Linked DNA regions of Struthio camelus. The protein of the gene in region 1 binds, or shares a complex with, the protein of each later gene. Links are inferred from orthologs where the notes say so. Each region holds a gene or a part of one and is shown in the gene's direction. Other genes may lie near its edges. The genes, in order: LIMS1 and PARVA.

Region 1 (15,431 bases):
GCGATGCTCTGAACGTTTGTGTTATTATCTGATGCCATGTGCACATGGTTGTGAGTTTTCCTTTCTTCGCTTGTTTTGTCACAGGAATTTCAGATCAGTTGTTCAGTTTTCCTCTCTGTATCTGCCAACTTTGTAGAAATTTCTGACTCTAAGTAGTTCTTGGTAACTTTCTAAAACGATGGTTTCATATGTAACGCTCCATGAGCAGTGTTTTTGGGTGCACTGCTTAGGTTTTCTAGACAATTGTAAGTCTTCCTATGAGCCTTCCTGTGATACATGTCTTAATATGTCAACAAGACAAAGCTTGCTGTTTTTTGACTGAAGCAGAGCCTTTTTTTCCAACAAGGGTGCACCGTTGAGAGATTTGTTGCATGGCTTCTGTGACGTAACACACTACGCAGAAGCTATTTGTTCTGCTTTTTCTCTCTGCCTAATGGCTGTGATAGAGCTAAAAGAAAATGAGCTAAAAATGGATTCGTCTCATAAAAGTCAAATGCAAGTAATCTATTGGCAAACACAGCTAGAAGAGCTGGCAGCGTTTATCAACCGTGCATTTATAAATAGAAGATTGAAAAGATTCAAACTGTTTCGGCAAGGAATGAATGGATGAAGGTGAAGTAGATGTGAAACTTTCTGTCTTTTCCAGCAGGTTAAGCCAATGCATGTCACGCTCTTCACAGACTGTAATATTTTTGATCCCAAGTTCAGTATACCTTTTGAACTCTTGTGTTGCTATGCAGGTATTGAAAAAATGTGATCCACTCACAGTTATGACTCAAAACTGCCCTGCTAGTCTGTTTCTTGTTCCGGTCCAGAAAATTTACATTTTTAGCTGTTTGTCTCCCTTGATGTTAGGCTTTTCATTTGTTGTTTTGTATGATTCTCCTTACTGACTTCAAAGACCAAAGAATACACTATATTTGGGGTACAAAGAAACCTGCTCCTTTTTTTTTTTCTTCTTTTTAAATGGTACATGCTAGCTCTGCAACTTTGGGATAGCTCCATGAGCACCATGTTGTGGATAATGAATTTTGCCTGAAGTGTACAAGCAATTGCTTAGTTTTAAATGCATTCCTTTCTTAAGCTAATGCTCAAATTATACCCACTTACTCAGTGTGACATAAGAAGGGGGAAGGAGGTTTGGCAGGGCTGGAAGCCCTTTGATCCAAGGCAAAAAATCCCATCTTCTCTCCCTTTTCCCTTCACTTTCCTTCCACCAAACAAATAACCCAGGCTCTATTCCCTACTCTGCTCCTTCAGGTAATCCTGCCAAGATTTTATTGCAAGTGGTAAATTTTACATCCTTCCTCCCAAGTCTGCCTGTAGTATCACAAGTATTTTTTTACGTTCATTCACTCCTGCTGTACTCAGCATTGGCCAACTGTTTGCGTGAAAACTGTGACTTTAGAAATTCCTGCAATACTTACCAAGCCTTCAAGACTTGCCAAGCATTTTCCAAACTGCTTTTCAGTAGCCGTTACTGAAATTCATTTGTGCATACCTGAAATGTCTACTACTACTATTGAGTAACTAATGAGTATAAAGTGTAAGGTGATGGTCTTCGGGTTGTGTTAACCTGAAAAAGGTCAAGATCGTTGTAATGGAGTATGCAAGTAATGCTATTTTGTATTAGCTTCATTTCTCGGTATATTACTCATGCTTGACTCTTAGCAACGTAAATCACTTCAGGTTATTTTCTTCCAACTGTTGAATATTAGTATTATTATTTAGTTCCATTATGTTAATTACAGAAAGCTTAACTGTCTTCCATTCTGTGCTATTTTTAAAGCTTGATAATATTACAGTGAATGTTTGAAGAAAAAAGGTGAAACCAGAAACCAAAATGACTTAACGGTTGCAATTTAAGTTGTGTATGAGAGAGAAGAGCACTAAAAAAGAAACGGCTCGAAAGATGTTTGCTTTATACTGCGTTCTGCCTTCCCAAAACCAATTGTTTAATTCAGATGATGAAAAACTTTAGCAGCACTCCACAATCAGAAGCATGAGAACAGAAAAATGAACCTAATGAACGTGAAAAATGTTTAGAGAGATGATGATGTGGAAAGTATAGTATTAATGGTCATATCTGCATGGAACTGACATGCTACTTAGAGAAGAAAGAAACCCTGTCCCGCAGCACCTTAGCGGAAGGTCAGTCCTTAGCCTGGTATCTCCAGTGGAGTCGTTACTATAATGGGAATGTCATTTAGAGCCAGAAAGTCTGGTGTTCACGGTTATCTCAGCCCTATAAGGAACTTCATGGACATACTAGAAGTCTTTCATGGTAGACTGGATGTTATGTTTAGTCAAGGCATTAATTATAGCTCCTGGATGAACTGTTCAGGTCACAGTGTTGAGCTTATAAAAACATCAGTCATAGCTAGTGTAGGCAGATGGTAAAGGCAGAAGTAAAGGTTAACATTTGCCTTTGCACTAAGGATTCAGTAAAGTATTTCTGGTGAATTTTAATGACAGATGATGATATATATTTAATACTGGTGCTATGAAACTGTTATTCTGAAGAGAAATATGGAAGCACAGCGTTTTCCTAGGATTTGAAATGTCAGAAAATACAAAGATCAGCCTCATACTTTCTTTAATGTATTTGAACTTTAAATTTGTTCCTTCAGTGGTGGATGAGGAGTTCACATGTAGTTAGGTGTAATACTGCATTGACTGAGATGTGGTTTCTCCTGAACCTGAGAAAAAACTTCTTCACTTTGAGGGTGACTGAGCATTGGAACAGGTTGCCCAGAGAGGTAGTGGAGTCTCCTTCCCTGGAGATATTCAAAACCCTCTGGATGTGATCCTGGGCAATATGCTCTAGGTGACCCTGCTTGAGCAGGGAGGTTGGACTAGATGATCTCCAGAGGTCCCTTCCAACCTAAACGATTCTGTGATTCTGTGATTCTTTACCCCCTCTAACACAGTTGCTTGAGATTGCCTGATCACGCTCTGTTGTCCTTCACTTGACTTTCCAGTGTTTTACTTCCACCAATAGCAATATTATTCTTCCGAAACACTTTCAGATTTTTGAACTGGTTGGACTTGGTGTTGTGAAGTTCTTTGTGTATATGTCCAAACAGAAAGATGCTTTTGAGTTTGGTGCACCTGATATGGTCTCACCTGTTCTTGAAAGGATTTTTTTTTTTTTAGGGCGAGTTTCTTAGATATATTAAACGTGTAGTCCTTAGTGTATAGTATCTGACCTTCTTACTATTCTTAAACTAGGAGTGGTGATATAAATGCTCCTATATGAAATGCGTTTGTGTATATGCATTTTTAAAGTCTTTAAAGTTTGTTGAGTTGGAATAATTTGGATGCAGCGTATTTGCCATAATGAAGTATACATACAGTCAGCCACACAGGATGCAGTTTTAAGAATAACTGAAAGCATGCTGTGTCTCATGCAACCCAGATTTATTAGCGCACTTGTGCGCTGTTGATATCTGATGCTGTATCTTTTCTCTTTTTCTTTATTTCTATCTGTATAGGATTCAAGAAAAGAATAGTGTGTGGAGTGGGATGGGGGGAAGAGATGGCGATTAAGAAGGATCAAATAGCTGTACACAGAAAAAAGAAAATCATTTCTCATTTTACACACAATATGGCTTTGCTAATGTTTGTAACCAGCAGGAAGAAAATGAAACGCTTTTTTTGAAATATTTCTTACAACAGAAAAAGTACTGTAGTTCAAATGTTATTCTCCCTTTCTACAAATTCTGTTAGAGACTGACTTTCACTGTGCTTCTATGACAGATAGAGTTGTGTGGGAAGGTGCTGCTTACCTGTTTATTCCAGTTATATTCGTTTCCTTATGAAGAGATGGAATGTGAACCTTCTCTGTTTGCGGAGACCAAAGCATTTTTTGGACATGTTTATACTAGAATAAGTTTATACTGAAGTATATGAAACAGCTAGAGTTGTCTTTTGTTAGCCCTGTTTAAACTCCCACTACATGAGCTTAATCATGCTTTTTGTGGCCAAGAGTAAAGGATGAAAGTTTCATGGGCGCTCAGAATTCACATAGTTTTTATCATGTTTTCGAGATGATTTTGCATCCTTTTGAATAGGATGCATCCCTTCTAATAGTTAGAGCAGGACTGTGCACATGTGCCAATCCTAGCATTAATGTGCATTTTTATTCGTGGAAAAGATTTATACCTTGCTTTCAATTACCTTAAGAGATCAATTTAACATAGGAAATACGTTGTTGCTTGCAGGACCAACAGTTGCAGCAATGAAAACCCAAGAGTGTTTTTAATTTTAGTAAAAAGACACAAAAGATCAGTTAGCACTTTAAAAGGTTCATGCAGAAATCATTGCAGGCACTGCAAAGCCATGTATACTTTACGGGCAAACTTTTATTCTAGTTCTTCTCTATTCTGCACGTGAAAGACATTGCACAGCATCGACTGTGAAATCATCCCTTACATATGTGGGATGAGGAGGGATGCCTTGTGATTTTTTTTTTTTTTCATTCCCCTCTGCCTAACGTGATGGTGCATGTGGCCTCCTGAAACCTCTAGTGACGCAGCAAGCTTGTACTCCAGCAGGCAATGTTATTTCGCAGTCATACGAGTAGGTTGCCAAGCAGCAGCTGTGATTGCCAAGCACCTTGTTTGGAGCCGTGGCTGCTCCGCACGTCTATTTGTGGAAGGAGGCGCAATGTGCGGCGGGGCGTGCTGGCCACCCAGCCTTCTCTGTAAGAGTCCCCTTCAGTGCCTCGCGACGACCAAAACGGGATTGAAAAGCTCTCCAGGGAAAGCAGTGCGTGAGCTGGAGGGCGGTTGTACATCAGAGATGATAGAGCTGCGTAGTGGTTTTTTACAGCCCTTCTCCATTGCAGCAGTTGTGTGCTTCCCCTTGGCTCCTCTTCTGTATCTTTTATCGCCTTCCCAGCTCTCTGCCTTGACTCCTGATAACATCCGCAGTGTGCCAGTAGTGTCTCTGCCTTCTTCCTTCCTCCTTACCTTTTTCAGTTATTATTTAACTTCTCCCTTTTCTTTTCTCCTTATCACCGACTATTTCCTTAACAGCTGGCTTGCAGATTTTGTCCCAGATCCCAGGGAATACCCTTGGGAAGCCGCTGCTGCAAATCAGTGAACGCCTGCATACTTCTCGCTCCTTGTGGACTTCACCTCACAGTAATCTAGAATTCCCTAATGAAAATATATTTTTGACAGCCAATTTTAGATCTCAGCAGCAAGTCTCCAGCAAAGTGACAAAAAAGAGAAAGATGACCATTTGCTCTGGATTCTTGGATTACCAAACCTTCACACTGGAAACTGTTTTGCTTTCGTAGCAGAAAAGCCCCTTTTAAACTCCGCGCAAGCTCCTTTCTTGCTTAACCTAATGTGAATTGGGAATAATTCCACGGAGAGCAGCGGCAGTAGGCGTTCAGAACAAGGCCTACTTATTACTTCATACGGTTGCTTCTTAATAAAAGCTAGGAAGATTAAAATAGGCTTTGTGGATGGACTTCTTGCTGCAATGACTGACTCCTTGTACTGCTTGCTTTGCTGCAGCTGCACAGGAGATTGCACAGCAGCCAGCTGAAGAAGCAAGCACCGGGGTGGATTTTTTTCCTATTGACCAGCAGAAGATGCAAGGAAGCAGAAGTGGCTTCTAGCCACCTTTGTAGCCTATAGGTTTCAGGTTACCGCAAGGGCTGCAGTAGTCCACAGAGAGTCAGAAATGCCTAAGGGCTCTGGTTTGTAGCAGCAGCTTCTCAGGAGAATTTCCTGCAATTTGGGACAAAATATACAAGAAAACAACTGAGGAGATGGTCAGTGATAAGGGGAATGGAGACAGACTGGCTTGCTGTTTCTTACCTTAGTGGCTTAGTGCACCTGTGCTAATTCTGGATGAATCGACATTGTTCGTCCATTGCAGCGAGTCTCCCTGGAGTTTTTCATACTCACAAGGGCTCAGTATTTACCTGTGCAGGAAATGTTGGGATCCAGCATGGAGAAAGAGAGTGGAGTCACTTTGTCGACATGTCCACTAGCAAACAGTGCTTGTTTTCATCACGAGTGAGGCAGGAGATGCAGAAACCTTTTCTTCCACCACTGTTTCCTGCAGCTGTGCCCAGGCAATATCACCATGGCCTAGAGCTATAGCCTGAGCTTTGCTTGATCTGAAACTTGCTCCAAGACAGATAAAAATAGGGCTTGGGCTCCAGCCAAGCTGTGTAACGGGTGAGGGTGCCGCCTCCTTAGCCTGTTGCAACGTGTGACTCTCAGTAGCTGTACCATGCCTTGGGTCACCAGACCTACAGAGAGATATAAAAGCGAGGGCACGCTGCCTAAGTCCCAGCTGCCATGATGTGGACAACATGCGGGGGGTGGGGACGGCTTGCCCAGAGGAGACTTCCTGCCGAGGGCAGTTTAAGGAAAGACGCCTGAGCAAAGCCCTCGCAGCCGTTTAGCCCGTTTGTTTGTGCTGTGCAGCAGCAGAGTTGTAGGGCTGTGCTGAGCAGCTTGCAGGAAGCTGCTAGAGCTAGGTGTGAGCTCAGGGCCTGTGCTGAGAGCGGCATGTGCTCCCCCTTAATCTTCTGGGCCAACTGTGCCAGTTAATGAGGTGAGATTTGGTGGAAAATGGTCGCAAAAGAGACCCTCTGCAATAGGCACTAGGATGATCATTTTCCAGATGCTGAAGGCATATTAAAAAATAGTAGCCTTGAGTGGAATTTCTACCATGTCCTCTGTTGAGTCCCATTTCTGATTTCTCTGCTTGTTCCCGCTAGTCTTTTTCTTCCTGTCCTCCTCCGCTTTCTCATGCTCCCTCGCAGACTAGCAAATTCTTCGGATACCAGGAAGCCTTGTGTCATGAACACAAAGCCCATGTGGTTTTGCTATTTAATCGATTGCTGACAAGGTTGAGTGAGTTCAGCGCAAGAGCCCCGTTGCTCAGCGCTGCCTCCCAAAGTCCTTTCGCGTTTGAAGTTTTAAGTTCTCAGGAGCCGGCTATCCCACGCCTGTCACAAGCGTTTCGCTTTAAGCAGGTAGAGCTTAGAAGAGCGAAATGAATGGCCGCAGCTCTGAAGGCTGTCGTGCCTGCCTTAGTAAGCAGCACGCGACAGATGTTTAGGTGGAGCGTAACCCGCAAGTAATTGCAGCGTGAAGATCGTTGTGAGGGCGTTCAGCGGCGCAGGCCGTGGTTAAACTTCCTTTCTTTCTTCTTCCTTTCTGGCCTTGCTCTCTCGCTTCCCTCATGTCCATGAAAAATTACTTCAGCTTTCAGCTCATGTCGGGGGCGAGCGTTCTCGACGTGATGCGCTCACTCAAAATCAAGTTGCAGTTTCCCTGCTTCACGTGTCGCCCCGTTAGAGGTTGGTTACCTGGCTCTTCTGTTAAGGGGCCCTGTTAAGCCAAACGGAAACAAACTATGTATCTGTATGCACGTCCTTCTTTCCCCAGCGCTGACAGGAAGAAAGATGCCTGGAGAGAGATAAACCCCCCACGTTTGACCTAAGACGATATAGGTGGAACAGAAAAGGTTGTTTTTACAATGTAATTGATATACCGGAGTATTAAAACAATGTTGACCTCATGACAGAAGTATTTTCTTCATGCTTTACGTTGCCGGCTTGCCCACAAGAAAACATGGTTGGAGTCCACCTCCATCCCCCCCCCCTCGCCCCCGGCTCAGCAGAAAATACCTGCGGACAAGTTTGCCGGTGACCGCGTTCGCTCCCGTAGGTTACTCGTCACACGGCAACCCTGCGCCGGCATGGGCCGCTCCTGGCAGCAGCGGACAGCGGAGCCGCTTCGCAGCGGCCGAGTTGCTGTCACAGCCCGCAACTGGAGCGCCTTCCCCAGCCTGCCCCCAAATCGCAGCCCGACCGTCCCGCCGCCGCGTCGGCTCGGCTCTTAACTTGAAGCTCTAGGCGAGCGCCGGAGGGGTCTGGCTGACTGACACGAAGCTGCGACAGTAAATCACCGCGCGGCGAACGAGGCGGGGGGGGGGGGGGGGGGGGAGGTCCAGCGCGTCGTTTTGCCGACTTCTGCCTATACCGCGAATATCTCACTCTTGGAAAGCGATTAAAGCGGCATGGATTTCCAAAGCAGAGCTCGGCCTTATGTGATCCCGGAGGATGGAGAGGTCCCGCGCGAGGCGGCTCCCGCTGCCCCCAACGCCACGGGAAACGAAGGCGAGAAAGCAGTGTCAAAATTGCAGCGTAGGCACAGTGACATAAAAGTTTACAAAGAGTTTTGTGACTTTTATGCAAGATTGTAAGTTAATTTTGTTCAGCTTCGGCGTTCGACTTCAGTAAAATTATTTGTGTATTGTACGTGTGTGTGTGTGTGTGGTTTTTGTTTTTTGTTTGTTATTATTACTTGAGCTCTGGGTAGACAGTGTAAGTCACTCTCTAAGGCAACCTTTGCCACTGTTCCCTGTTTGAGACGTTGCCGGTTGTAATCATCAACTAAAATTTGAGCCGTTGCTGTAGACTTAATCATTACTTGCGTCAGAAATTTTTATTAGTAGCTGGTACCGCTTTGGCATTTGTAGAGTAGTCTCTCTGACTTCTGATTTGAGATCGTTTGCTGCTTATTATGGGGAAATGTGTAAACTGGACCACTAATAACAGAAGTGTTGCGTAGATTGGTGTTTTTACACATGTGTTTCGAATTAAAGTGAACCAGTATTTTTGCATTTTTAGAAGGAAAGCTTTGTGCTCTCATGTAATTATTTTCCAAGTGTCTACGTTTCATAGTTTTGCTTGGATCACACGTTGTGTCTGACAGCACTTAACATTAAATAATTTTTTAAGTTGAACATCCTTAGTATTCCAGAGCTGTCGAGGTGATAATGAAAGATCCCAAGTTACGTTGCGATCGCTGTTCGTTCAGATTGAAGGATAAGGATGGGTGAAGTGACTGAGCTTTTGCCCCCCTCGTGAACCGCACACTGTCCTTGGAGGGCATTGGCTAGCTGCAAGGTGAACCACTGCTTAAACACAGAATTGCTGCAGCTTTTCAGCATGTTTGTGGGTTGTCACGTATGGCGTAGAGCGTTCTCCAGTCTGCTCTCCTCTGTGAGATTCGCCCACTCGCTTCACTAAGAGGGTGGTAAATATTTTGGTATCGGTTACTGCTGCCACCTTCTGCAAAGGGCTCTAGAGAGGAAAAAGAAAGCAGTGAATAATAACGGGTCAAATGTGACCTTGCGTGCAGCCCTTCTGTTATACAATGTAAGAAACAGATAAAGCACGTTTGTTTTGAACCATGTGATCGGTGCGCGTTTGCTAACTCTGGTGCTGTATAAGGAATTGATTCAATTGCTTTTGGATCCAGTGCGAGCCAGCAGGTTTTAGCCCCTTGGAGGGAAGGGCTTGACATCCTGCAGAGGACCGAGTCCTCTGCGTTTACGGGTGCACCGTGATTTTTTCCTCTCTGTACCAAAATGTGCCCACAATAGACGTATGCACATGCATACCTTTTGGTAACGAATGTGTGCGTGTGCGTATCTGCGTTTAAAATAACCCTAATTCTTTGATAAGCTTCCAGATAGATGTTTGAATTGTTGGTTTTGTCAGTTGTGGTTGGATTGTATGAACCTAGACCATTGCCCTGTATTTGCTCTCTGCTGTCAAATGTTATTGGCGCAGAGAGGTGATCCTGAAAGGCATAGCTTGGAAAGGCTAGATGGAAGCGAGAAAATACTGGCAGAGTTAAAATCAAATAAACGTTTTCCTGGTACTAGATTCTTAATTAACTGTAACCCAGTTACTCCTGACAAAGTAGCTAATCCCTCCGGTATTTTACAGATACCCCCTTGGCATTTTATAGCCACACGCCTTTGAGAAGCAGCTAGGGTGGCTATTGAGTATTTTTTGCATCTCCAGCGTGGGGTCCCGTGGCAGTTTGCGCTGGCCTAAGTCTGGGTTGCAGTGGCCCAGCCTGCTACTGCAGCCCGAGAGTCCCACCCTCTCTCCCTTGGCCCCGCGCTGAGGCCGGCACAGAGCGAGCTGATGTAGGGAGCTGATCTCGTTAAGATTAACCTTAACAAACAAACCAAGACCCCCGTGACTTTAAACTACGTTTGTAAAATGACTTTAAGCTGTGTGAAACCAATGTAAGGAATAATGGTTTGCTTTCTCTGGTTTTCAGTAATTTCTGCTAGACTAAATACCTTATATGCTTTCACATTGCTATTTTAAAGCTTTTGAACCAATGGTGTTACGTATGTTTTAGGACTGTCTTATCATTCATGTTTTCCAATGTGAACATTATTCTAATGTGTTAATTACTGCTAACGTTGGCCCTTGTTTTCCATGATTCTCATGTATTTAGTTTTTCATTTTTATAGTACTTGGTTGAATCACCTGCTTTTTCCCCTCATTAAACGCCTATGAATGTATCTGTAATGATGTTTCTGTTTGTTTTTTAAATTAGCAGTTGTTAGACTGTGTTGTGGGTTTTTTATTTCTAAAGAGTTATGGGCAGGGGGGAAACGACCGTTTTATTTCTGAGGGAATGCCACAAGCCATTAAGTGCATGAACAAGCTTTCGTTGAGCAGCTTAGCATTAGGCTGAAACAGTTGGCTTTGGAAAAAAGAGATGAACTAAAATCAGTGGGGTTGCGTGTTTTGGCTCATTTTCTTCTTGTTTCTTTTTTATGACAGCAACATGGCAAATGCTCTTGCAAATGCCATCTGTGAGCGCTGCAGAGGCGGCTTTGCACCTGCAGAGAAAATTGTCAACAGCAACGGTGAACTGTACCACGAGCAGTGCTTTGTGTGTGCCCAGTGCTTTCAGCAGTTTCCCGAAGGGCTCTTCTACGAGGTAAGCCAGGCAGAAGGTTGTTCTTGCCCCAATTCTCTGGCTTGTTTTTTCATTCTTGTACAAGAAGTAAATACAGACGGATCAATAGTTTGGAAAGTGCTGTGGCAGAAATTGTGCTCTGAAAGAATGTGCCCAGTAGACGGTGAAAAAAGTAGAAATACTTTTGTGCAAACTTGGAGGTTGTCACTGTGTATATCTTACTTCAGTGTGCAGCGTAATGTTGTCAGAGTTGCGAAAAAGCTGCTGGAGATTTCTCTCTCAGTCCTGAATTTTTTCCTTGGAATCTGTAAAGAAAATCTATATATTTTATGAGACGTAGGTAGAGAACGTTCTTTTTATAGCAGAACTGAGACAGAGTGAAATCCCAACCTCCCGTAGTCCGTAGGAGGCTTATTGCTCAGCTCTGTGGGGCCAGCGCTGCAGTTGAAATGTTGGTCCGTAAGTCAGCATGCTGAGGGAAAGGTGTGCAGTCACCCAAACCCAAATGAGGCATAAGTCAGGTCAATTCTAGACAGAGCAGAGCAAACTGGGACGTTCTGAATTAGCAGTTCTCAAATGCTTTCAAAAGCAAAAACCACTCCCACTCGCTTTCTCTGCCCCAGATGGATTGCCCTCAGCTCAGAGGTGAATTTTAATATTAATGTAGTTTTCTTTTCCCTTCGCCTGTGATGAGTATTTAGCTATTTCAAGTACAAAGCGGCTTTAGTAAAAGCTTGAGACTAGCTCATAAAGTATGAAGCAATTGCTATAAGGGAGGGTAGAGCTGGTGAGATAGAGAATTGTTAGCTGAAGTTTTCAGATGGGGAGCAAAGGCTCAGAAAGATTAAAGTATAATATAATAAGTATCAAATTTCTTTAGGCATTTCTGAAAACCCTGTTCTAATCCACTGTCTGTGATCACACCGGAAGCCTGGAGCAGCTCTAAGAGTAGTTCCAATCCAATAATTTTGCAAAAAGGTGTTCTTAGCTTACTTTGACGTGTAATGCAGAGTCGGGATAGACTCTTATGCCAGATTCTTAGTTCATGCCTAGTTTATATGTAATCCATTTATTCAGTGCTTCAAATGTACGTAGCACTTCACAAAGCAGGTAGAAATAAGGTCCTGCTCAGATAGTTTGTAGTACAACATACAATAGCGGTTGCAGGATTTATGTCATATTATGATCTGCAAAGGAAGGTTGGCCGTTTGTTAAAAGCATAAAACTGTGCTCTCACATACAAGGTGTTATTGCTGTGTCAAGAGCACAGCAGATTATTTTCACAGTAATATTTTAAATCAATTGTACAGAGCCATGCCATGTGGTGATGAGGAGGCAGCCGAGGGAGGAGTGGCTGGTTGGGAAAGAGACTGGCACGGGGGATTCCAGGGGTTTGCTTCCTCTCACCTTGTTTGAAGATCAAAAGATTTGTCAGTGCTTTAGGGGTAGTGTTGCACAATTTGTGGTAAATGAGCCACTAGTGGTCCCTAAGACATCAAAAGGTGAGCTGCAAAGCAGTAGCAATTAAAAAACAAAACACAACACCTCCAAGATGCTTGCACATTATCTTGCAATTGTTAATATGAGTTGCTGCCTACACGCAGGCATGATAAAGAGTCAGTCCTGACATGTTAAGACCTGAGGCAGGTATAGAGGGACACACATGCTTTAAAACTAAAACATTTTTGTGCTAGTAACGTTTCTTTAAAACAACAGAATGTTTCTCTAAATGATGAGTAATTTATTTTTCCTTTTCCTGAGTGTGAAAAAACAATGGCACAATCAGGCCATCCATGGACCTCTTTCAGAAAGTTGGATGGTCCTTGGAGATGGAAGTTTGAGAAATACTGTTCTAGAAAGCCTGTACCTCCTAGAGGATGGAGAAGGGCTATAGTGGAAAGAAAGTGTGTTTGCACCTAGTCCAGGAATATTCAGCCTGTCCGTTGCTCATGTGTGGCCCTAGGTGAATCTCCCTCAGCAGGGGCAAACATCCCGGTGGTGTTTGGGTGCACTGCACAGAGGCGTTTTGCTTCCTACTGCTACAGTGCTAACATCCTTATTCGTTGTGGTTGGGTTTTAAGCATTCTTTTACTGCAAAGTGATGCTTCCTGTTAAAGACAATAAGTCAGAAGTGAGTGCTGATAGATTGTCCTGGGAATAAAAACAGCCCCAGGTACTTAAACACGTTTTGGTAAAGTTCTGCATTTTTTTCAGACTGTGCAGAGGCTTGCAATGGCTTTGTTCTTCAGAAATGTTACACGATAACTGGAAAATTTAAGTTAGGAATAGACGCTTTTTGCCACAGCTATTACAGAAATAAAATAATTATGATTAGGATTAAGGAAACATCCAAAGAGTTATATGTGAACTGCGGGCAATCCTTCTGCCTCTAGCCCTTACTTATAATGTCCACCATGAGAATTTGCAGTTCCTCTCCACACCAGCAAGTCTGTCTGTTGCTGGAGAGAGACTTTTCAAAAGCATGTCGAAACGTCTGACAGCCTTCAGATTAAGGTGAATAAATCTTACTTAGACTTCCTCTCCTGTCTGTACTTGCCAGTTCTGGGCATCTTCTAGACAGAGGAGAGGTGAGTATCTGTGTTGTCCCAGCCCTCATGCCTTTTTGGCTGTTTCAGCTTGGAAATCTTTGGCGGGTTCTTCTACTCTGTCTGCAGCCAGGCCCTTTAGGGTGAGCTAGTCCAAGTGCATCCACGTGTGTCCTGTGCCGCCAGAACAGCGCTCACTTGGCAGTGAAGCGGTCAGTGAAATGATGGTGGTGGAGACTCCTGGAACGCTTCCTGGTTGTGCTGCTCAGGAAGAAGCAGGGGCAAGGGCACAGCCTGCTCTTCCTTCATGTGAGTGGGTGGTTTAGCACTGACTTGGCACCTCAGCACGAGGGTTGGGAACGTCCTGAGTAAAAGTATTTGGGGGAGAGGGAGGAACAACTCTAAGCAGGCAGAGGATGAGCTCAGGTTGGCTGATGCTCAGGAGATGGCTGACAGTGCTTGGAGGACTGAAGGTGATCTGTATCACTGTGAGGAAGACAGGCAAAAAGGGTATCTTCCTTAAACTGGTTTAATATACCCCTTAAGAAGATGCATTTGGAGGTGTGGCCAGTTAATGTGTTTTTCTGAGCAGGTTCCCCTTGGGTAAATGGAAGCGTTGCTGATAGCCCTGCATTAATTTGTTTATTCTGTGTCTGGTTGAGCTAAGCCAGTATTCCCTGGAAAGGATCTTCAGCTATTAGCAGCTGGGAAGTCAGGTATTCTTCCCCCACCTATCTCAAGCGTTGCAGCCTTCCCCAGTTAGTCATTAAGCTGCTTATCACGTTCACACTCAAATGCTGCAGTGGTAAGCTTTCGGGCTCTGCTCCCCTGGCAAGGGGGTGTACTGGTAGGGTTATCCATGTCGCTGGATGTGTCACCGGGTTGTGTGTGGGCCCAGATCAGCGTAGCTTGCTGCGGTCCGGTGTCAGAGCTGAGCCCTTCGCAGGTACCAGGGCAGCCCTCCTCTGTGGCTGGGAGATAGCACTGACCTCAATAGCAACGATTCTGGAAAGGGAAGGACTTTCAGTGTATTTTTTTGAAGTTTTTTCCTTTTGAAGGTGGCTACAACTCCTGGAAAACTTGCATCATATCCAGGCTCCCTAGGATTTTTGCTGATGTCCTCCTCAGCATAAATTAGAAATGATAGTGTAGCTAGTTTTCCAGCCAGTGTTGGCCTTGTGGTTTAAGGGAGTGAGTGAGAGCTTTGCACCTCACGTTGCACAGGAGCCGCAGGGGTGGGACCTGCTAGGTTGCACCTGTATTCTGTTCTGTTCAGTATCATCAGCTTAGCATGTCTTCTTCTGCACTTAACCTAAACAGCAATTAGCTCAAACTCATACCAGCAAAGTGTAACAATGTGCAGTCCTGTACTAATAACGCCAGAACAGCCTGCTTCCGTGGGGAGCTTCGGGGCCACCATGTCCAGGGGGCCAATGAAATATAACCCTGAATGCTGATGTAAATTAGCTTGATGGAAGTCAGTACAGTTAAGAAAATAGCAGTGCACAATTAGCGATGCCTCTTGCATCAAGTCATCACTCTCACGTTTGTCTTGCTATTGCGTACAGCCGGAAACATAAGAGAGAATTGTTTAGGAAGAGACCTCTGGGGGATCCTGCAGTACTGAAATCTCTTTCAGCCCGAGCTGAACCCTGAGCTGTCAGGTAGAGGGGGAGTCTAAGACTGGCCCAAGGTGTAATTAGTCAGTGGGCAATTCCTCCGACCCATCGCACCGTAGGTTCGGAAACAGCTATTCTCTTCCACGGGGGCACCCAGGAGACTGGCCTAGCTTTACGCATCCAATTTTTAGCCAGCAGAAGTTAGGAGAGATGACTCCTACCCCTTAAGAGGGGCTTTTTCTGCAGGGGCCCAGCCTGCTCTGCACTGTGCTGCTGTGGTGGGTGAGATGAAAGGACTTAGAGAGGTGCTTCCCACAGTGGAAGAAACACAAGAAAATCCTTATAAAATACTTTATGAGCTCTATAATGGGAAACTTGTATTTGTGAGCGTTTAGGGAAGTTGCAGCTTTTTTTTTTTTTCTGAGTGACTTGCTGCTTTTGTTTGTAGGTGAGGGGAGAGTGTTCCTTTCAGATTTTTTTTTTTTCCTTAAAAG
Region 2 (15,759 bases), on another chromosome or scaffold:
CCGTTTAGCTGAATCTGTATGTGATTTTGGTAATGTTTTGGCACAGCTGAGCCACAGTCAACTATTTAAAGGCAATAAAGCAAGAATCTCACACAAAAATAGGTTAGTTTTTATTTCTGGTGGAGGAAGGATCTTTTGAATAATTACATATATTATAAGTAATCATTATAACTACTGTAAATGCAATGTCAGAAATTAGGTTTTTCTAGACATTTGTAAGTTTTAGTGCACTGTATATTTTTGAACAAGAATTTAATGCAATATTAAATCCCTACATGTTGGAAAATGGTAAGAGAATATCAAAGAGGTGACTCCCCTTAAAAGACTGTTAAAAGCTCAGAAAAGCTCTCTGTATGTTACAGATTAAGGTCGTCCCTAAAATATACCGAATAATGTTTTAAAAATAGCAATCCAGAACTGATTAGTATTTATAGGGTATGCTTTACAGTTGGCATGCTTGGTAAAATGCATCACAGATAGTATCGTAGGGTACCATGAGTGGTGTAGCAGTTAGAGACTGCTCCAAGAGACAATAATTGCACAAAAGCATGGCTGAAAATGCTGAATTTTGTAATGCCAGCACTGACAGAAAATGTTGTGGTTATATTTAAACTATATTTATATTGCTGCTCAAGAGGAATGTACACTTATATTTTTCAGAATTATTGTATTTTGATTTTTTTTAACTTAAAGGAAATATCTCATCTCTTTGTACATGCATTTATAGCCTTTGGCATAGCAGATGTGCAAAACTTCTCCTTACTATTCCGCATATTTTAAGTGCTTTCTTAAATCTGAGATAATTCTGCAATTTAAGATTGGTAGCGTTCCCAACTGAATGTATGATCCACTACATTTTCAAACTTTAAAAAAAAAAAAGAGAGAGAGAGAGAGAGAGAAGACTGCTTCTTTTTGACTATTATTTTACCTCATGCTCTGACTGAGAAGATTTTTTTGTTCTCACTACTTCCTGAATGGTGCTTATTTGCTACAGCTGCCTGTGGTACAGCCAAAGTTGGAAGCATTCTTCTTACAAAAGCTTTAAGCTTAAACCTCTTGGTGACTACTTGTAGGGTGGCATACACACTGGATCCTATCACAGTAGTTTATGAATTATCTTAAGTTTCTGATGTATTGTAATAAATTTAAAATATATTTTTAAAGATAAAAACAAAATTTTACTATTGTCCACAGATAAAAAAAAATATATATACCTCTTGGTGAAAGGAAGATACTGTTGTTCTGCAATATTTATGTTTTTATATCTATTTATTAGACTGTCTAAAGGGAATAAGTGTCTGGTTATATTTTATACTTTGGGTGTTGTTTCTGGTTTTGATAAACAAAAATGTATTTCTAGCAGGTATGTATAGGTGAAGCTGTGCCTTGTAGAGTAGATAGTTTTATCAATCTGGTAAGTAATTGGGAACAAAAATATAAATTGAGGTTTAAACAACATTCTCAGTTACTATAAACCTGAAGGAATACCCTTATGGCATAGCATGTAGGGCTTTAACAATGTGATTTGTCTTTTTTTCACAGTGGAAAGATACAGCAGAATCCCAGAATGGGTTCCAGAATTATCCTCTGCCATGTTTTTCTGTCATTCCTATGCAGATCATACGTGATTGTTAGATTACGTTTTTACAGAGATGGATTGCAGTGACTGATTTTTAAATTAGCTCTGTTACTTAAGATTGACACAAAGTAGGAACAGACAGGACAGCAATACACATTTTCATTTTCTCTCTTTTGAAATCTGCTGGCATTTCTAGTGTTGTGAAGAAATTCTCTGGATTTTATCGCTGTACCCAGAAGCCTCATGTAATCCAGTAAAATAATACTGACTAGCATATCTGTCATTCTGCTGTAGAAAATGGAGAGCCATAATGCTTTCAAGATCATTTTTTAAATTTGTGAGTCAAACTCTTTTTCGTAGTGCTTTGGACAGCAGGGGAAGTCAGCACAGCCACCTCCAGCTATATCAGCAAAGGTTGTTTTTTTCAGTCAGTTTTTCAATTAAAAAAATCCCTTTGTTTTAGTCGATGTTGCTGGCCTCCGAAGAGGAGGAAGGGCGACGCGAGGACATGGCACATCACATGCGTTGTGTGGGCACATGGCACGACTGAGGGTGCATAAGCCTGACATTTCAGTTTCCTGCAGATGCCTGCTCTGCTGTAAAACCAGGCGACAGACAGGTGTGAACAGACTCTTTCATTTTAGCTCCAAGGATTTCGGTCCCTGAGAGTATTAAAGGCAACAGCAGTTGAAGGCCATCACCATCTTATGGACCCCCAGAAGAGTCTCTGTTTTAAAAGTTACTTTCTTGTATGATATGTGGTAGTAATACACGCCGTACCCAAAACTGCAGGTCTCCTGTGTGTGTCTGTAGGCTCTTGGGTGGAAAGTCCTGCGTAGCTACTGTTGCCCCGCCTGACACTAATGTGCTCACAAGATTCAGTCCAAAAATGAAGAGTGCAGGTGACTTAGGAGAAGAATAAGCTCTAGGTAATTTAAAGTAGATCTTTGTACATTATGAGAGTAGGCGAGGAGGGGAAAAAGAAAGAGAAGCTATGTACACTGTTCACAGCTCAATTTAATATGGCTGGCTTACGTTAGAAATGCATTTAAACAAATATGTTTGGTTATGAGTGTTCTTGCTGTTCAATCTTTTCTGTAAATTGACTCACTTACTTATAAGGAATTTGTTGATTTTTAAATCTTTGTCACTATTTTTAAATCCTTGGCACTGTTATCACAAGTATAATATGATGTGCTACAACATATTGGCTGTATCTAACCTGACTAGATGTGAGCAGTTTTATATTTGAAGAAATAAAATTGTATCTCACTCTCTAAAGTCCCTGAGTCATTTCTGTAATAATTTCTTACCTCCAGTATCTACAGAGGAATAATGCATGTCTAGGAAAGACCTATAGGTAAGAAATTATATCATTTTCCTAATCATATACTGGTAAGTAAATTGCACTATCTTACCTGGCACTTCATATCTTAGAAATAATGGCACTCTGCTGCTAGACAGTGTTCAACTTGACCTTTAACAAGAAAATGCAAACCCCATGAGATCAACAACTTCCTTTAATTTCTGACATGGTAATTCATCACCTAATTTCCTTAGACATTACATACAAACTGACAACTCCTTGAGCTGAAGGAAAAAGGCCACTGCGCAGATCAAGAATTGGTGAGCAAAACCTTAATTGCTGATTTTCATATTCCACCAACTTTACTTCTATTAGGCTATCTCTTAATCTGTTGTTTTCTACCAGTGGGACAGACTCGCAGAGGAAGACAACGTTACTGCCTCAGAAGAGATAAGCAAGATTTGGGCTTACGTTAGCCCCTGCGCCATTGTCCCCTTAGCAGCAATTCCAAATTGATCGATGCTTCCCTCCTCTTCAGATGACAGGTGGATGGCAGCTGCTCTTCAAAGGTCCAGGTAATTTCTGTCACATCTGAGCTGAGCTTTGTCTTCTACTGTCATGTCCTTGTCCTTCTTACCAGGTGGGCATGGTAGTGGTTCTGCTGATAATCTACTCATAAATCCTCAAGACTGCAGAGGAATCACCCACCTGCATGGCAATTGGAAGTAATAAGTCAAACTTTTAAACGCGTACGCGTATAAAACTTTGCAGCCCTGCTGACTGCTCAGCCAGCTGGTTGGCAGCCGGGGAGCTTGGCCGGCCCAGGAGCACAATAGGGGTAGAAATCTGCCTATTGGAATTTACTGAGGCTCCCCTATTATTCACTCTCTCTGACCCCCTCCAAAAGATTATGGCTCTAGAGAAAGGCAGTTGGGCAAGATGTTGAAGAAAAAGACTTTGTAAGCCATCACATGCCTTGAGATCAGTTGATTTGTCCCCAAGGTAAGAGAATGCCTCATTGATTTTAAGGGTATTTGGCTAGATTTCTCTGGGCACAGGCAACAAACGTAACAGACTTATGTCTTGCAACCACTATTTTCAAACCTAATGCAGGGAGCATATCTGATTTCAACTGAATTTGATTTTAGTTTAGCAGTTTCCTTCCAAAAAGATATACTCTGGTTTTTTTCCTGCTTAAGTATGTAACAGGATGTGGCTTAGCAGATTGGAGATTCTGTCTGTCTTTTAAGACCTTGCTACTGTTAAGATCTAAAGCTGTCTGCTGAATTTTGGAGGGACCACACAGTTATTTGCATAGTATGGCATGATGGGTTTACCATGTTAGTATGTGAATACTATCCCTACAGTCTTCATGGCAGTCATGGTATCTCCAAAACCTGGAACCTGACAAATACCTTGTGATGAGTAATGTATTCACTGGATTTCACCTAAATCTGTTTGTCTAGTATTTATGAACAACTTGTCTTTTTTCCGCATGGTTTCTTCTGCTGATTCTAATGAACTATGGCAAGAGATTTCATGTGCCAGCTAGGTGTTTGCTGGTATAGTCACATAGTACAGATGTACAAAGCTACAGACAAGAGAAGGGCATTTCTTGTGAATACAAAAGCTTATTAATAAAAAATCATGAGCCTAATTTTTCTGAAACTGTCTCAACAAGTCCAGAGGTAAATTCATGTAAACCTGGCCTAGTACGTATAAACAACTGATTGGCAGAATTACATATTACCAGAAGCATTAAGTGCCAGGATAATGTTCTTATCTCATTGAAAAATTTCAAAACCAATTTCCTTCCATTGAAACTTTCCAAATAATTGATCTCTATGTGTGATCTGTGTATACACTATGCTGTCTTTTGTCTTGCACCTACAGTGTTCTTTACTAAGTCTATGTTTGACCTTTTGGGGTCCTTAATGTGCAATATAGAAATATATTGTACGTTTGAAGGATCTAGTTGGAGATATTCCAATACTTCTATGAAACTCTATATTAATGAATAATATATTTATTATTCATTATCCTATTTATTTTTTTTAATAGAAGATTCTTAACCCAAAGAAGATACAGGTTAATTAGAAAGCATAGCTCAATTTTAAATTTAAGCATAAGCATAGGTTCAATCTAAGACTCACTTTGTGAGCTGGAAACAAACTTATCTTCAAGTGTGAGTTTGAGATGGTGGTGGCTGTGAAAATTTGGAGTCCTGCTACCTGATAGCAGTGCTTTCTGCCGTTATAACGTAGCCCCCACTGGGATGATTAGTCAACCCTGGGCTGGCCTTTTAGGGGCTGAAATCATATGCAACAAGGTCCTATGGGCTACATAACCTGCCTTGAGTTGGTATGGGACAGGAGATGTGGCTGCGCAGACTACCAGCCAGGCAATATGTTGTGCTGTGGTCCACTCCCAGCACCGCCTCTCCCAGCACAGTACCAGAGGTGGCCACCGCACGCAGCCATGTGAAGAGGAGTGGGGGGGGGGGGAAGGGAAGGGGGCTTCATGGTGAAATACAAAACCACTTTCTTGAAGTACAAGCCTGAAGTTCTTGCCTCTCAACTTCCAGGGGTGCCACCAGGACAGGCTGCAAGGCGTTAGTTCCCTGGAGGGGAACAGGCACCTAGCATGTCTGGTTCATGGATACAGCCAGGTCCTGTGAGAGCTGTTCCCTCCAGAGATTTTTGGGTGCTCTCAGGAAAAGCCATCCCAGAGACGCCGTGGTGTTGTCTTTCAGTGGGATGCAGGTGAGAGGTAATATTGCTCAGCCACCCTGTGAAACACAGACAACTGCTCCCTGGGAGGACAGGGGTGGCTGGTGCTCCTGTATCTGACAGGCACAAGAAAGCAGAGGAAAGTTTATGGCATTGCACTGGGAGAATGTGAGTTGCCAGCACTGTAAAAGAGAGTTTTTGGGAGGAGCCAAAGGAAGGAGCCTTCATACTTGCCTCAATTGCTTGTTATTGTTGAGCTTCTGGCTGAGATATGTGGAAGAAAGGAGAAGCTTACCAAAGCTCTTATTTACCAGTGTCCTAAATTTTAACAGCCTCTCTTTGAATCCCAATCAAAAAATAGACACTAAACAGCCACAAAGTAGCCTGTGAGGAAATGTCAATGTCGTCTTCTCTAAGAACCATCCTTTACTGTGCTGTTAACACACAGCCTGGGGAGTAGGGATGTGAATGTTCAGCAGTTCACTACATAGAATTGGCACATGAGAAGATGGTTGACTGCAAACATTTAGAAAAATATAAAGAGTAGACTTTGGTCTAATTCTGTTCTTTATGAAGTCAGTGAAGAGTCTTACTGTAGGCAAATACTGCAATAGCAGTAGAGCAATAGAGTATTTTTGAAAATTCCACTGTTATTGTTTAAAAGACCACAGAGTCAAAAGGCTAGAGCAGAAGTGTACTTAAGAGAAAAATGTCGAACTCCAGATCAAGAAGAATCGATAATTTATTGCATGGCCTTAACTAGCTTGGCTTAAACTTGTGTAATAACAGAAGAAATACTTTGAAAACCAGATATGACATCAGGGCTGACCTCTCTCCCCTGAGTCAGCTATCTCAGATTATGAGTATACTTTCAGCTGCTGCAGTGCTCATTTTTATTAGCCTAGACCATGGCTGGTATATTATGTATTCTGTCTCTTCCACCTCATGCAGGAAGTAATATTCTATCTGTGATCACTCTGAGTTCTGTAGTAAAAGAAATAGAAAACAGGTGTGCATGGACAGATATGAAGGTGAGTAAGAATGCATTTGAAGTCTGTGGATTTAGCCTCCTTTTATTGCCTGGCAAAAGTATGTATGTGATCAGGATACAATTAATTTGAACTACTGGTTGGATCATCTGTAGGAACAAGGCGCTGACAGGAAGCACGGTGAGAGCTCTTGATCGCCTGCTCCAGATTTCTATATGCTGGATGCAGTGAGGTGAGCCTGAATGGCAACCTACTGACTATTGTGTCTGGTGCATGGGATCATGGAGCATGATCATGAAAGTATTCACTTATTAAATGTAAAACAGAGCAAAAACCTAGACAAACAAAAATCTCCACCGAATCTATATTACTACAGCTTTTATTTGTGGTTAAAATATTATAGAAATAGGAACTAGGCATTCAAAAGCAACATTTGTACATCTGCCATAATTTAGACCTTGTGTGTACTTATATGGCGTTTTGTGCTGAATGCAATATTAATTTAAGCTCATATGTGCATATATATTTCCAGATCAAAAGAAAAAAGTAGCATATGTAGTTGGAAATTTAAGATACAAGGCGGGGAGAAGGAGTGTTGTAACTATCTTCAGAGAGCATCATCATAAGTTGGAAAAACCCTGCAATAATGTTATACCTAAGAGAACTGCAAATAAATTCAGAAAGAAGCCCCTAAAGAACACAACAAACTTAAGTCTGTTGCAGTGACCCCTTAGCATTATTACTCAAGGCATTACAGTATTTCTGTTCCCAAATCAGATTAAGTTATTTTAAATGCACATTGAGTTTCCTTTAAAATATATTTTCTGCTTGTGATGTTAAATCCTTACCTATAGCTCATGAGGCTATTAAATAAGGAATATTACATTTGATATCTAATTTACATATGCTAGGTATAAAAAAGTATGGAACAAAACTGAGTAGAGATACTAGGACTTGTAAGTTATTTGGTGTGTGACTTGGCAAATGCATGCTGAGTTCTGATTTTCCCATGCTGTATAACCCAGCGCACATTACTGTCTGAAATATCTGATTTGTTCTTTTTGCCTTTAATACCAAACTTAGTGGCACAAAGGCAAGCAGATTTGTGTGCCCACAAAATCCTACTCTGCTGTGCCCACAAAATCCTACATGGACGTCTGTGTGTAGTATTTGGGTCCAAAGTTGTGTCATTGCTGTTTATAAATGCTGCAGATTCACATGTGTGTATATAGAAAGGACTCTACATGATTATTTTGCTTTCTTTTAAAATTATATTTCATTGTTTTTAAAAAAATTGTTCAGAATTGTTTGTATCCTAATCTATACAGCGCATGAACAGCAATTCTTAACAAAACAGAGTAATGTGTGAAGGTGGGGAGATTCTGCAGACAAAATCCAAACGCGCAATCAGTGCTAGAAGCCAGAGAGAGCAAACCTAAGGAAACGTGAGAGTCTCTTAACGGCTTGTGTTGATTCCTGGTTTTAAGTAATGGTGGTAGGGGTGAATGAAATTATTCTCTAGGGCATATACTAACTGCATACAACAAATACTCATTGGTGTCTATCCCTCATCAGATAACCATTGTTACTGGCTTGTAAAAACAACAATTATTAGCTGATTTAGAAATATCCTCATGGTAATTTCATTTCTCTTATTATGTCTAATGGATAGCTAGATATTTGCATAAAGTGTGTGTGGCTTTTTGCCTAAATTGTTAATCGAGTGATTAAGAGGGGAGTGAAGTAGTACATCCAGATGACATTAATGCTGTTCCAGCCCTAGATGTCTCCTGAACCAGTCACAGCCAATTACCTGTTTTAAACATACTTTTCTCTTAAGCAGCTCACCTGCAAATCAACAGAGGATTGGCACAGGCAATAATTTATCATGCTCACTAACCTTTCTTTCACATTCTTTTTAATAAAGGTCTTTTTTGGCAGAAAGGGGGAACGCGATGCCCACCTCCAACGACAGAGGTACAGGGGCAGAAAGACAGCCCGCTTCCCAAAATTGGCTCAAGGCTGGAGTGTACGTGGCAACCCGCGCGGGGACCTGCCCAAAGCTCTTCAGTGGCACTTCACTGCTCGATTAGTCGGAGGACAAACCGCGGGCCGCCGAGCTGGTGGGGGCCAGCCAAGGCCGCGGCGGGGGCGGGGGTGACCACCTCGCCTGAACGAGGCGATGTTTCAGCGTGCGGCAGGAGGGCGGGTGAGGAGGGTGTCGCTTCCCCCTGACAGAAAAACCCTTCTTCCAGCGCCTTGAGGCAGCCGGGACCCCCCGTCAGCCGCAACGAGGAACCGCCGCCCGGGCTGAAAGCCCCGAGCGGAGCAGGCTGGGGTGAGGGCGGGCTGCGGGGCCTGGGGGGGGGGGGGCGGGAGCCGCTGGCCTGGGAGACCGTTGGGCTGAGGTGGGGGGAAGGGGGACCACAGGGCTGTCGGGGGACTGGGGGGGGCGTTGGGCTGTGGGGGGGCACGGAGGGAACGGGCGCGGGCCGGGCGAGGGCAGCGCGGCCCTCCCCGGCGGGCGGGCGGGCGGGCGGGCGGGAGGGAGGGAGGGAAGGAGAGGGAGAGCGGGAGAGCGGAGCAGGAGCTGCCTCAAATGCCTGAAATAATTCCGCTTCCGTTTAGAGCAGGGGCCAGCCTCTCGCTCCGCCTGGGCTCCAAACCTGTCTCCCTTCATCCCTGAGCGGCGGCGGTGCTGGGACCGCCATGGCAACCTCCCCTCAGAAGTCCCCGTCGTCTCCTAAATCCCCCACCCCTAAATCGCCCCCGTCTAGAAAGAAAGATGACTCCTTCCTGGGCAAACTTGGCGGCACGCTGGCAAGGAGGAAAAAAGCCAAAGAAGGTAAAAAAAAAAATTTACAGGTTTGCACGCTTCCTGGGAGTTACCTTAAAATGGGGGGTGGGAGGAGGAGGAGGAGGAGACTGGGGGGGGAGAGGAAAAGGCTCTGGGGAGCGGGAGGAAGGGGCTGACTTGGGACGGACGTGTCGGGTGGGCAGGCGAGCAGCGAGGGAGGAGCGCGCCGCCTTGCCCCCGGCTTCTCCCCGGCCGCCCTGCGGGGCCCGGGCCGCCGCCGCCGCCGCCGCCCTGCCCGCGCCTCACGGCGGGGAAACGCGGGGCCCGAGCGGGCCCGGCCGCGCGCCGCCCCTCCCCCCGCCGCCCCGCCCGCCAACCGCCGCCACCGCCAACCGCCGCCACCGCCAACCGCCGCGCGCGGGCCGCGGGGTGCGGCGCGGCGGCCTGAGCGGTGCCCTGCGGGCAGGGCGGGCGGCGCCGGGCCCGGGGGTGCGCCCTAGGACGGGGCGTGAGCCGGGCAGGGGTCTGGGTGCCGGGATGTGTGCTGGGAGCGCAAGGCGGGTGCCGCCACAGAGAGGCAGCGCCTCAAAAGCCGGTGTGATACCCCCGGCGGAGGTGCCCTGCGCCTCGCTGCATCCGGGCGAGGAGAGGTCCCCTGGGCTGCGTCGGCGTGTGCACCCCACGGTGCCTGCTTGAGATTACCTACTTTTTTAAGCTGTAGTGCTAAAAAGAAGGAAAAAAAAAGTGAGGCTAAAGATGCTTATGTCTGCTTTGGTTTGCAGTGTATCGACTTATAGTGGTGTACAGCATGCTCTCAACGCATTGCTCTGAGAGAATGATGTGATTATGTTCACTCCTTAAAGGTTTAAATTTTAACCCAGTTGTTCCTAGACTGAGCTGAAAACCTTTGCCTCGTGATAGTAATCCTTTGAAGAAGATTGAGCGTGTACAAAGGTCTCTTTCTTTGTCCGTACATGTGAATTAATATCCAGGCCCTACTGAATCTGCCTATTTAAAATCCCATGAGACAGAGAATTGGAATTTAACCTCACTCACCCGTCATTTTGCAACTGATGATGCAAGCGGAGCTAGAATAGCGTCCGCTTCAGAACAGTTTTTCAATTAATGTTTGTCATTCTTAAGCAAGAAAAAAAGAGTTATGCTCAACAGACCCTGATTTCTGATATATATGTGGAGAGTGAAATTTGGCAAAGTATTTCAGAATAGTGCTAATGCCATGGACAAGGACGATAACACTTTACTTTGAAGAGTGAGCCCCTCGCTGTAGCCATCACCTGTATTTCTGAGATGCATAGTCTTGCTTTTCTATTAAAATACGTTACGCAATTGTGCTGATGTTATTCAAGCTTCTGTTCATTGCAGTTGGCCCAGAAGTTTATGAAACAGTGAATAGTGGCAAACTTTACTAGGGATCCACTTCCTTATGCCATTTCTGTAAGAGTATCGATGAACTCTAGTAGCAATGCACTAGAAACAATCTTCTGTGATGTGTCTGTATTGTAGTTATGTTTTGAGACTTTTAACTTAACCTATTTGTAGTAGATTTAGCATGTCCAGTGTTGCTATCAGACAATACTACTTTTATCAGTGCCACAGTGTTATGTCATAAATCTACAGGTATCTGTCAGAGACAGCACGGTTACTTTTATTCACAATCTTGTAATCTTATTTAAAAAAATGTGTTCCATGAAATCATAGTTTTTGTCTTTATTTCTGTGTCTCTATTAAATTTATTAAAATCTACACCTGCTATTTCATTGTCTCATCAAGTTAATATTTACCCTTTTAACATTTTGGAACAACATTGATGATGTGCTTTGTGTTTCCCAATTTCCTAAAGCTTTTTAAAAAATCACAGTGGTTTGGATTTTTTTTTTTTAAAACTTTGTGAGAATATTGTAGTATTTCATGATGGAGACAAAATGTTTCATTAATTTCTCCATAGCATCTTTCTTGGAAAGATCTTGGAAGACTCTAATGATACATTCAAGAATGTATCTTTTATTTACTTATCTTTTTTTTTTTTTTTTCATTGGAAGCACGTGAGACTGACATGTACTGGTATGGCTTTATACTAGTGAGAATGATTTTATTTTATTTTATTTTTAAATAGCAGATTCAAATGGTAATGACTTTTAAAGCCAATACGTTTTTACAGTGAACCCTTTCTTCTTCATGCCTCCTAATCTCTCCTACAAATAAATACGGGTCTGCACACTATTCATGAGCCACGTTATTTCTTGCAGGCTGTGATGCATATGGCTTCCATCTTATGTTGTACTGTCAGAGTTTGTAGGACTCAGGCATATTTGAAATTAAACTACAGCCTTCATATAGGAGATCAGATTGCTTGTGGGTCTAGCCTCTGTTCTTTGATTTTCCTGCTTTAAAGACCTTTCTAACGTCAAGGTTATAACAGAGAAATGTCTCAGTTATAGGAGTGTACATGATCGTTCAACTGTTAACACATATAAAATATTAGAAAAAGTTCAAGGGATTATTCATAGGGATTTGAAAAAATGTTTTTTTTCTGTTGGCCATATTTAGACCTTCAGCTTTTGTAACTTAGAATGAGGTACTCTTGGATGGCACCTTTTCTCTTCACATTTTTTTTCCATAGCATCTCGACCTGTTCGCTAACCTAGTTAGTCTGCTATGGATATCTACCTCATTTTGAATGTGAACATTGATCTCTAGTTATTTAAGGTCCCTAAATACTATAAATTGTTAATAACTTTTTAGAAATAATGGTATTTTTGCTATGTAGGTTATTTATTTCTCCTTCTTATCTACCTAGCCTTGTGCTTTGTGATTTTAGTATGCTAGTAGAGTAAATTCACCTACTGTGTTTCAGCTATGTCAGTATTTCTTCATCAGTCAACAACTCTGCTTATTCCAGTTTATTGCTGTTATTAATGCATAGGCAATAGAACAAGTCTTGTTCTGTTAGTCTTGCTTTGTGATTTTAGTATGCTATAGTAGAGTAAATCTGCATAATAGATTTCAGCTGCGTCAGTATTTCTTCATGAGTCAAAAATTCTGCTTATTGCAGTTTATTATTATCTTTAATGTATAGGCAACGGAACAAGTATTCCTCTTCTAGATGAATGTAGACGATGCAGAGGATGCCTCTGTCATCCTGATCTCCTGATCAACGGGTTTATGGGCCTGGCTGGTGCGTGCTATGGCTTTTTTCCAACCTGCATGCCTTCAGGGACAACAAAGGGGCTGTTGCAGCCACTCTGTTTCAGTCCTGCATTAAGCCAGACCACGTTCAGGTTACATACCTGGAAACAAAAGCTCAGAAGCACACCTGGGTCTTAGAGATTAGCTGTTGCTCAAGAAAGTCATTGAGGCTTGTGCTCTTGAGAGAAATAAGGGGTAACTGAAAATTTCCTTTCTTCTAGTTGATATAAGCTCTGCTATTACATAGAGGACAGAAACTTACTGGTTTTCTTTGGCCTTTTATCATATGGTGTAAAAGTTAATGTTTCTAAATAATGCAAAAATGTTTTATCTGTTGTAGGGAACATACTAATTACATTTTAATACTATTTATTTATGTATCTAGATAACTGTTGTAGAAGTATATAATTGTATGTATTAGGTTTTGTATTTTTGCCATCAACAGACATTGTTAACTGTCAAAACAATATTTTTATACATCACAATAATAGAGCCAGTGCCAGAATGCTCTACCAAATACAAAGCCATTAGGATCTGAAGTGATAATAGTACAGTCATGCAAGCTATTTATAAAATCTGTGTAGTTTTACATGTAGCAAAAGTGGCTTACAGTGCAATATAAAACGGATTTTTGGTAATACCTTTCATTTTCATATAGCAAGTCCTTCCTTACGAATTTCACAGTTCCTGGCAGTGGTGATTATTCCACCCGTGTTATAGATGAGAATATCGAGCAATGTAGAAGTGAAGTGAATTCTCTAATAACGCAGTACGAGTTGTTGGCAGAGCAGAGAATACACACCCTACCACAGCAGAGAAAAGGCTGATCATCTATTGTATATCTATTATATATTATATGATAATTATTGTACTCTATACCAGGACAGAACAAAGAGAATAACTTGAGATTCTGTTAGTTGAGATACCGCTCATGATGTAAGTAGGGATTAGTCATGCCTTAGGATGTATGTTAATTTGCAAAATAAGTTGTCATTAACTATTAGAGAATATTTATGAAATATAAAATCTGGGAGTGAGGAAGGCAAAGCTGCTTGGGTCATCTTCTGTCACACAGGGCTGTGGCCTGGATTTTATTTACAGTATCTCATCTTCATTGGTGTAATTCAAGGGTAAGAGCATCATACTTTAGTCTTTCCTGAGAGGGCATGAACAACTGCAACTTTAAATAGTGTATACATTTTGTTAAAGGAACAAAAACTACAAATGATTAACTATGTTTAAATTTACTATAATTACCTTTTTAATGCAACAAAAAATACTGAGATAATACTAGAATATTTGATGACCTGTTTACAAGTGAAGCAACTATAAGCAAGAATTAGCTTATAGTAAGATTCTGTCCCTTTCATTCTTGAGAAGTGTTCAAAAATTAAGCCACCCCATATATGCCTTTGAAGGATTCCAGTCTTCGTCTATCAGGAGGTAAGAGCCATAGTGAAGCTAATTTTACTAGCCAAAGCCAACCACAAGTTAAAAAAAAAAAAAAAAAAGTATAAGCTCCTCATAGTACTTTGTATTGTGTACTAAGCATATCTTTATACAAGTGCAAGGAGAGAACAGAATGACCTCTTTTTTGGGGGTGGGGTTGTATATTATATTATCTTATGAATTTTTCATGGTGGGTTCATTAAGGTCATATGTGATTGCCCTCCTTGAATTTTCCTGGCCTGGCAATTATAGACATACAAATTTAGCTCCTCATAATAGCTTACCTTAGTAGAGAATCTTAAGAATTGGAACCTGACGCTCTAATAAATCTGTGACACATTCAGAAACAGAGAGCGAAGTTCAGAATTGCTTAAATTGCGTAGGAGCAGATGGAAAACAGACAGCTTGGACCTGTGAATTGGGTAGAGAGCAATTACTGCCCATTGTATGGGCTTGGTCAGTTTTCCGATTGATATGACATCAATTTCAGTAATTTGACTGCTCTTCTTCCTAGCTTATTTGGTGTTGATGGGCAAGAGAAGGAATGAATTTTCTTCTAGCTTCCGCTTATATGATATTTCTTCTTTATCCTTCATATGTTTTGGTTTTATTTCATTTCAGTATGTGAGGTCACAGTAGGCTGTGTTTCTGTGTGTGCCTGAGGGAAAATTACGATGTTAACAGCATAAAATATTTTAGATTTGCTATTTCTTGATATTTCCCTTCAATTTCTTAGTCTCCATTTGCTACCATAGCACATTTCTAACAATAATATAAAAATCGGAACAACTACAAATTAAAAATAAGCGTAGGGTGATGAGAGCTCTTCAGCTATTTTAAATAAAAATTTTTGTCTTTAAGGAATCAGTGACTAAAATGCCTTGTTGTGAGACTCTCTGAAAGAGAAGTCATACCTTGATCTGGCTTATGTATGTGCATTGTACTGTGAAAGAAATGTATTTGTTAGTATACAAGGAGCATTCTGCTGAATTTTGAGATTTTTGAATTATTTTCTTTGGACCTGTTTCTGCAACTTCTCTTTAAGCAGAGTAGTGCACTATAGATACAAAGGGCTGTTTTTTGTAACAGTAGGACTTATCTTTTGCTCATCATCTGTTTGTTTCTCATGTGAGAGATCCTAGACTAACTTAAATGCTTTGCAGGTTTTTTCTTTACTATTGCTACCTGATGCTGTATTTAAAATGCAAATGAAGTTGAAAGAAGAACTGCTGTGTCTTACCTATGCATATTAGCAAATATGTTGGTAATAACATATAGTATGAAGAAAATCAATGGGCCCGCGTGTGCAGATTTCATAGCAATGCTTCAAAGATGCATGTAGCATTTTCTATGAAGAAGAAATGGGTTGAGGTAGGTTTTGCCATCACTCTTATATAAATCAGTAGTTCTGAATTTTCATTTTTACTGCAGCATATCAGTGCATCAACCCTAGGCCTTCTTGTGCTATTAGAATAGCTGAATGGTTGTTTTTGATGACTGACATAATGTGCTTTATCTCCAGGCTTAATGTGTAGCAGCTGAAATGTGCTTATACTCTTCTTTCCCCTGTAAACTGTGTTACATATTCCCATGTTCTTGGTGTGCTGCCACAGGCATCATAGCTGCCTGTTTAACTGATGGTGGACAAAAGCTATTAGTACCACCTTGGAATAATTATTGCCTTGGAGCAAGTTGTGTAAAGT

What was found.
Region 2: LIMS1 (region 1) and PARVA share a complex: the UniProt entries of both Homo sapiens proteins name them as parts of the heterotrimeric IPP (ILK-PINCH-PARVIN) complex. The link is inferred for Struthio camelus from reciprocal best matches to the Homo sapiens genes LIMS1 and PARVA.

Annotation. Positions count from the first base shown.
Region 1 is NC_090942.1:155,375,251-155,390,681, forward strand, and holds the start of LIMS1 (LIM and senescent cell antigen-like-containing domain protein 1), read left to right. Parts: upstream 1-7,968; 5' UTR 7,969-8,055; coding exon 8,056-8,237; intron 8,238-10,633; coding exon 10,634-10,793; intron 10,794-15,431. UniProt on the Homo sapiens protein: Within the IPP (ILK-PINCH-PARVIN) complex, binds to F-actin, promoting F-actin bundling, a process required to generate force for actin cytoskeleton reorganization and subsequent dynamic cell adhesion events such as cell spreading and migration.
Region 2 is NC_090946.1:25,102,108-25,117,866, forward strand, and holds the start of PARVA (alpha-parvin), read left to right. Parts: upstream 1-8,476; 5' UTR 8,477-8,491; coding exon 8,492-8,632; intron 8,633-8,688; exon of another isoform or gene 8,689-8,858; coding exon 8,859-8,941; intron 8,942-8,970; exon of another isoform or gene 8,971-9,011; intron 9,012-9,231; exon of another isoform or gene 9,232-9,236; coding exon 9,237-9,448; intron 9,449-15,759. UniProt on the Homo sapiens protein: Plays a role in sarcomere organization and in smooth muscle cell contraction. Required for normal development of the embryonic cardiovascular system, and for normal septation of the heart outflow tract.